Xenopus tropicalis: one gene and its partner. The protein of the gene in region 1 purifies or fractionates together with the protein of each later gene. This does not show direct contact. Links are inferred from orthologs where the notes say so. Each region holds a gene or a part of one and is shown in the gene's direction. Other genes may lie near its edges.

Region 1 (4,192 bases):
CCCATTGTAAGCAGCAGTCCTGCCCTGCTTTATGGCTGAGATTCTAGCTATCTGTATAACAGAGCATTCTGTCACAGTGGCACAGATCCTATCTGATCCCCCCATTGTAAGCAGCAGTCCTGCCCTGCTTTATGGCTGAGATTCTAGCTATCTGTATAACAGAGCATTCTGTCACAGTGGCACAGATCCTATCTGATCCCCCATTGTAAGCAGCAGTCCTGCCCTGCTTTATGGCTGAGATTCTAGCTATCTGTATAACAGAGCATTCTGTCACAGTGGCACAGATCCTATCTGATCCCCCCCCATTGTAAGCAGCAGTCCTGCCCTGCTTTATGGCTGAGATTCTAGCTATCTGTATAACAGAGCATTCTGTCACAGTGGCACAGATCCTATCTGATCCCCCCATTGTAAGCAGCAGTCCTGCCCTGCTTTATGGCTGAGATTCTAGCTATCTGTATAACAGAGCATTCTGTCACAGTGGCACAGATCCTATCTGATCCCCCCATTGTAAGCAGCAGTCCTGCCCTGCTTTATGGCTGAGATTCTAGCTATCTGTATAACAGAGCATTCTGTCACAGTGGCACAGATCCTATCTGATCCCCCCATTGTAAGCAGCAGTCCTGCCCTGCTTTATGGCTGAGATTCTAGCTATCTGTATAACAGAACATTCTGTCACAGTGGGCATATTGGAATGCCATCCCTGTAGCTTTTGCCCCCGGGGCAGCAGCTGAGTGACACTAATGTGGTTGTGACTAGTCAGTAACCTGGAGATGACAAACAGAGGGGTTGGTATTAACAAAGGGTCATGTGACAGGGGGACGGTGGGGGGTAGGAAGGTGCTAGTAGCACAGTTCTGCCCAAGACCCAGGTGCCTATTGTGTTTGGAAGGAAAGTGTGAGCTGTAGAACCGGTTGCACCAGCCTGGGCCCCGGTGTCTGGCCCAGATACCAATCTCGCCCGGGGGTGGGTACGGCTGTTTCACTTTATGACAGACGCTGTTGATTTAGCGGTTACAGAGAATCTTGTGTTTGTATGTGGCCGCATTCCTCTGGCGCATGATGCATTCTCATTGGCCGGGGGCCACACAGGTCATCCCCACAATTACACTTTATAGAGAGAGAACTTTGTTTTAAAGGGGAACTCCGCCCAAACGCTGGAAGGAAATCTTCCCAATATCCATTTATTGTGTCTGTCCCTTCCCTGCACTGCTGGTTCTGACTCCTGATACAACTCCCCAATACCCATTCATTCCTCATTCTCACTGGGTTTATAGTTATGTGTAACTGTCACTGTGTCTGTCTCTTTCCCTTCTCTGCACTGCTGGTTCTGACTCCTGATACAACTCCCCAATATCCATTCATCCCTCATTCTCACTGGGTTTATAGTTGTGTAACTGGTTCTGACTGTTTATATAACTGTATCCCTGTATGAAGCAGTGCAGGGAGAGCCCAGTTATACCCAGACCCAGTTATTTTAGTCCCAGAATTCAGTGGGGCACTGGGAGTCCCTGGGAGGGATGGGGCTGAGCCCTTGAACTTTGCGCTGCTATAAAGTAAATGCTTTAGTGTGCCGCCCTTACAGCAGCTCTATCAGTGACCCTGTACAGAGATAATGACTGAGATTTATTGCCATTTAGTAGGAATGGGCCAGATTGGTTCCAGGATTCTTTACTCCGATTCATTGTGCCCAGCAAATTGATATGTGACCCACTTGCAGTGGGTGCTGTAGGGGAGTGACCCCCATATAAGTGATCGGTACCCACCTATACATTATTGGGGGGGCGGGGCATCTTGTGGCTTTCCCTTAGGGTTTATGGGCTACTGGGCATTTGTCTGGTTCTGCCATCCCTCAGGACTAAATGCCAGCTGGGCTAGTGACATGTAAGGCCCATTACCTGCCCGGGACCAGCTCAACCAGTGGGTTGCAGGGATTCCCTTCCCCCCCCCTATACCAAAAGATATTGTGCCCAAAAGCCCCCCCCCAAACCCCCCGGAGTCCAGAATCTGCCCCACTACTCGTTGTTAGGCAGCAAAATGCAGCCCTGTCCAATAGGAGAAGGGAGCATGCAAAGCAAAAGAGCCCTCGATAGATTGTTAGCTCTTCTGAACAGTTCCTTAGTGTCTATAGAGGGCACTTGTTCTTTGCTTGCTCCCTGCTCCTATTGGACAGGGCCCTGTTAGACACTAAGGAACTGTTCAGAAGAGCTTACAGTCTAACGGGGCCCTGTCCAATAAGAGCAGAGAGCAAGCAAAGCACAGGCACCCTCTATAGACACCTAGTAACTGTTCAGAAGAGCTAACAATCTAAGTTTCTATAGAGGGTATCTGTGCTTTGCTTGCTCTCTGCTCTTATTGGACAGGGCCCTGTTAGGAACTGTTCAGAAGAGCTAACAATCTAACAGGGCCCTGTCCTATAGGAGAATGGAGCAAGCAAAGCACCGACTCCCTCTATAGAGACTAAGGAACTGTGCAGAAGAGCTAACAATCTAACAGGGGGAAGCAGACAAACACAAGGGTTTGGTTGGGCACCATTCTTGGGACTGAGGCTGATGGGAAATAAATTAACCCCTCGGTTACTGTTTATCTTTACAGATTTGGCGCCAAGATGACGGAGTACAAACTTGTGGTGGTCGGAGCGGGAGGCGTAGGGAAGAGCGCCCTCACCATTCAGCTCATCCAGAACCATTTTGTGGATGAATATGATCCCACCATAGAGGTAAGGCTGCTTCAGGGTGGGGGGGGCGGTCCTTAAATATTGGTCATGTGACCCCCCCCCCCAATACAGTACATTGGGCTCTGTGTAAGTGCTGGCTTCCCATACACCCTTAAATGTTCCCCTTTGAGTTAACATTTAGTTGGATGTAGATATGATATTCTGAGACAATTTGCAATTGGTCTTCTGCAGGTCATTGGTTGCTAGGGTCCAAATTAACCTTAGCAACCAGGCAGCAGTTTGAAAGAGAGACTGATATATGAATAGGGGAGGGGCTGAATAGAAATTTAAGGAATAAAAAGTAACAATAACAATAAAACTGGAGCCTCACAGAGCAATAGGTTTTGGTTGCTAGGGTCCAAGTTACCTTAGCAACCAGGCAGCAGTTTGAAAGAGACACTGCTATATGAATAGGGGAGGGGCCTGAATAGAAAGATAAGGAATAAAAAGTAACAATAACAATAAAACTGGAGCCTAACAGAGCAATAGGTTTTTAGTTGCGAGGGTCCAAGTTACCTTAGCAACCAGGGAGTGGTTTGGATGAGAGACTGGTATATGAATAGGGGAGGGGCTGAATAGAAAGATAAGGAATAAAAAGTAACAATAACAATAAAACTGGAGCCTCACAGAGCAATAGGGTTTGGTTGCCGGGGTCAGTGACCCCCATTTGAAAGGCAAATAATTCAAAAACTATAACAAATAAATAATGAAGACCAATTGAAAAGTTGCTTAGAATTAGCTGTTCTATAACATCCCACAGCAGGGGGGCCCTTGGCTAAAAGCCTCCGCTCATACCCCTTTTGCCCCCGCAGGACTCGTACAGGAAGCAAGTGGTGATCGATGGGGAGACCTGCCTGTTGGACATACTGGACACCGCGGGGCAGGAGGAGTACAGCGCAATGAGGGACCAGTACATGAGGACCGGGGAGGGGTTTCTCTGCGTGTTTGCCATTAACAACACCAAATCCTTCGAGGATATTCACCATTATAGGTAAGGGGCTCATTCTCTGCCTTATATAGATATTGGCTGCACTGCTGCTTCTGACTCCTGACACATTGTAGTAGAAGCAGCTGCTACAATGTGTGGAGAGTCGGAACCAGACCCGGTTGAGGACTGACCCGACGCACTTGCGTTATTTCCCCGCAGGGAGCAGATAAAGCGAGTGAAGGATTCGGAGGACGTGCCGATGGTTCTGGTGGGCAACAAGTGCGACCTGCCCTCCCGGACGGTGGACACCAAACAGGCGCAGGATTTAGCCCGGAGTTACGGGATTCCCTTCATCGAGACGTCGGCCAAAACCAGACAGGTAACGGGACGCGCTGCCCCCCAGCAAATTTGTGTATTTGAACAAAGGTCGAGTTGGGGAAGGTTCTGTACTGAGCGGCTGGTCCATTGCTGCAGTGTGACCCAAGGTCCAACTATTCAGCCTTAGCTGTTGCCCCGGCGCTTGCACTTCTTTTTGTAAAAGGAATCTGCAGA
Region 2 (3,837 bases), on another chromosome or scaffold:
GCATATTTTTACATGCGAGGTACACATTAAATCTCATCTGCCACTAAGCTGCCCAGATTGCTAGTTTGTCAAGCAAACCTGGATCTCGGCATGCACAAAGGTGTGCTCCGATGCTTGTACATTTATTGAAGACTCAACTCCACAAATGAACTTGTCCTGCTTAAAATGTTATGTGGCTAATTATTTTTGTGATGGAGCTTTTTGGTGTGGAGCATCATAGACTAGTTTGTTACAATATTTTTAATTTTATGGAATGTGTATCTTAAATTTCAGATTACTTTTACATATTTGTAAGAGATTGTTTAATGTTGGAATTGTATTTAATATTTTCTTAACAGGCATTGAAATCATAAGGAGAACACTGAAGATTCCTGCAATGACCATCGCAAAAAATGCAGGTGTTGAAGGATCATTAGTGGTAGAAAAGATCATTCAGAGTCCAGTTGAGATTGGATATGATGCCATGCATGCTGAATTTGTTAACTTGGTGGAAAAAGGCATTATTGACCCCACAAAGGTAACAATATAAAATTAGTACATACAATATATCTATATCTCTCTTGGCTTAGTGCAGTTAGCTAGACCCATAGTAGTCCATCATGATCAGCTTTTTTCCAAATAGAACCTTCCTACGTTCTAGATTATCGAAAGGGAGGCATAATCTTAAACCACCTCCTGATTTGCCTCATACCCTTAATTCAGTAACCTTGTATCTCCCAGTAGAAGCACTTCAGGTAGAGAACATTTTTTTTGTGGGGGAACCCTTTTCACAGCTTTACATGGAAAGCTCCTTACTCCAACTAGAAACGCTGTTTGGTTTAGGAAAGACGTCCTCATTTGTTTGCAAAGCAGAAGGATTTCTGGAAAAGAAGTCCAGGATTGCTTCTAAAATTGGCAATTACATGAAATACTTTGTAGACCGAGCATCAGCCACTGAGGTTTTTAAAGTTAACAGTTCAGTGCAAAAATTTAAGCTGGGTAAAATTAGACTGTAAAATAAAAAATATTTCTAATATAGTTAGGCAAAAATGTAATCTTTAAAGGTGGAAGTGGACAGATGTCCAACATAATAGCCAGATCACTACTTTCTTCTTTCAGCTCTGTAACCTTAGTCAGTCAGTGATTTTAGGGGGGACCACATGGGACATAACTGTTCAATCTGACTTACATGCTCACAAACTAACCTAATGGTTATGTCCCATGTGGCATCCCCTAAAGTCACTGATTGGTTACTGACCACTAACGGCTTAGAGAGCAGTTTTTATTTTGTGCAGTCTATTTTACCCAGTTTCATTTTTGCACCAAACTATTCCTTTAAGCAAGCCAGGACAGTATGCTGATCAGATTCCCAAATTCACTCCATGGGCCATTAGCCTAAATTTTAAGTACAAAACCTTTAGGTTTATTAACATCACATCTACCACTTAACTGTTCAGATTGCCAGTTTATCCCGATCTCCTGCAAGGATGATGCATCCAGGATTGATTTCATTTTCCTGCATTGGCAAACACTAATGCATTGATTCAATTTGTTTTGTGATGGCTTTAAATGGACATTATTATCAAAGTGGACCCAATACAGAACCTAGCGACATCTTACTAAGAACCTTATTTCAGGTGGAGGATGTACTGCTTAGAACCATTTCTCTCTCTCTAGCCAGTTTTCTATCTGTGTTGCAAGCAGTATTACCAAGAACAGCTTAGTTTAGAAAGCAAGTGTAATATGTTGTAATCAAAAGCCTAGGTAAAATCTAAGTAGCTTCGTATACTACCACACCATTATCCAGGTTCCTACATAGTACATCATAAAAATAAATATTTAAGCAATGTTAACAAACTTAAGTGCTATATAATGTCAGATACTGACAACTTGAACTGAGCCCTCTGTAAATTGTGGGTAGTGTAACACTGACTTCTTTCTTGTATACATGTAGGAAAACAATTTAATAAAGCACATTTTTTAGATGTATGACATTTAAATGTAATTTTCTTGCCCTGTTATAATTACTATGGCCTTTTGTAGAATGACATTTTTACTGTTTAATGGGTACACTCTCTAAAAACCTAGTTCTTACACAGACATCTGCACACATTTTATTCCAGAGCTTACAATGAAATGTCCATGTCACACACTTGCCATAGAGTTCTTACAGTTGGTGTCTAGGTATTTCTAATAATTTACTTGAGAAGGGACCACTATCCTGCTTCCAACTTTGCAGTCTGTCACATTGATATTGTGTATTGATATACACTGAATCTGTAATAATCTACTAAGCAGTATATATGCACACACCTATATATAATATAATCTTATAATAATATGAAAATGTATGTGTGTGCTTGAAAAATAGCCCAGTGGAGACTATTTTATTTTATTTATGCTTCACATACAATGATGTGTTATGATTTACAGGTTGTGAGGACAGCTTTGATGGATGCTGCCGGTGTTGCTTCACTCTTGACAACAGCTGAAGCAGTTGTGACTGAAATTCCAAAAGAAGAAAAAGATGGTGGCATGGCCGGAATGGGAGGAATGGGAGGCATGCCCGGTGGTATGGGAGGTGGAATGTTCTAAATTTTTAAACTAAGAACTGATAAATGCCCATGTTAAAAGCTCTGAAATGTTGAGACAACCGAACCGTGAAGCTGGTGATACGTTTCAAAAGTTGGTTAAGATTACTTAACTGTTTACTGCTATCATTATTCATGCCCTTGTGTAATTTATTTTCTTTTTTGGTAGACCTTTGTACATTCCGGAAAAATTATGTAGTTGCCATTGTTACAGGAACATTTGTTTAAACTATTGTCATTTTTACCAGTGCTTCAAGTTTATTGATAGTTTTTACATTTTACTACCACTACTGCCCAGATTTAAATGTTAGTGTCTAATCCTGGCTATCTAAAAGACGTTAAAATAAAAATGTATTAATTATGTTTACTCTAAATTAGTTCCGAATGTAAGGTTTTTTTGGTTTTTTTTTTTGGTTTTTTGTCTTGCTGTCTGCACTGTTCTTTTTCTATTTCTTGCTTTTTTTACAATAGTGTTTACTTTTTAATAGTGTTAACTTTTAAACAGATGAGGTTTTAACAAAACTTATTCATGGCAGACCCCGATCAAAGATATATATACAGCTGATGAGTTAATTTATTTAGACCAACCTATCTTAAAGTGAAATCAAGTTGCCGTACAAAGTGTCTTTGGTCTTGCCCCACTGATCCTCTCTGTTGGGCATGTTGGCCTTTGAGAAAGATGAGGAGATTGACATTAATAGGGTTTAGTACTCTCTGGATCTCAATCAATTCAATTGGGGAAGTGAGAAGCTTGTTCTAGAGAGCCCATATAATGAGGTGTCTTTGAGGTCCTGAAGTCCTACACAATAGAAGGAAAGTAGAAATGAGAGGGAGTGTGTACAAACCGCTTGCAGGCAGTTCTCTGTGCTCTAAAGGGGATATTGACTACTGAAGAGCACTTAGTGCAGTCTGTCAGACTCCTATATTGCATGTTCTTCACTGCCTTAGACAAGCCCAATCTAAGTCTCAGGAGCAGAAGCCCTATGTCCATGTCATCTATATAGAACGAGCTATGGATATTATAAAGTTGACTAACCAGGAAGTAAAGTATAAGTGAGGGAGAGCAAGACTCTCCTTATCAAGTGGTGCTGTGAGGGCCTACCAGGCCCCATTAAATTGGGTAGGTATATTCTATATATTTACTCATCCCCCACATTGTGAGTGGAAGCTTGAACTAGAAGGTTGTCAATACTTTAAACTGGGCAAAAGTTGTATGTTATCTTTAATCTATTGATGGCCCTGAATCATAGAAGAGTGGTCAGGGTAT

The links. The genes of interacting proteins can lie anywhere in the genome.
Region 2: the proteins of krasl (region 1) and hspd1 purify together in Homo sapiens (affinity purification with mass spectrometry; 3 studies listed by BioGRID and IntAct, with this or other methods). This does not show direct contact. The link is inferred for Xenopus tropicalis from reciprocal best matches to the Homo sapiens genes KRAS and HSPD1.

Annotation. Positions count from the first base shown.
Region 1 is NC_030679.2:2,101,368-2,105,559, reverse strand, and holds part of krasl (GTPase KRas), read left to right. Parts: intron 1-2,591; 5' UTR 2,592-2,604; coding exon 2,605-2,715; intron 2,716-3,524; coding exon 3,525-3,703; intron 3,704-3,859; coding exon 3,860-4,019; intron 4,020-4,192. UniProt on the Homo sapiens protein: Ras proteins bind GDP/GTP and possess intrinsic GTPase activity. Plays an important role in the regulation of cell proliferation.
Region 2 is NC_030685.2:46,506,060-46,509,896, reverse strand, and holds the end of hspd1 (60 kDa heat shock protein, mitochondrial), read left to right. Parts: intron 1-338; coding exon 339-517; intron 518-2,412; coding exon 2,413-2,574; 3' UTR 2,575-2,947; downstream 2,948-3,837. UniProt on the Homo sapiens protein: Chaperonin implicated in mitochondrial protein import and macromolecular assembly. Together with Hsp10, facilitates the correct folding of imported proteins.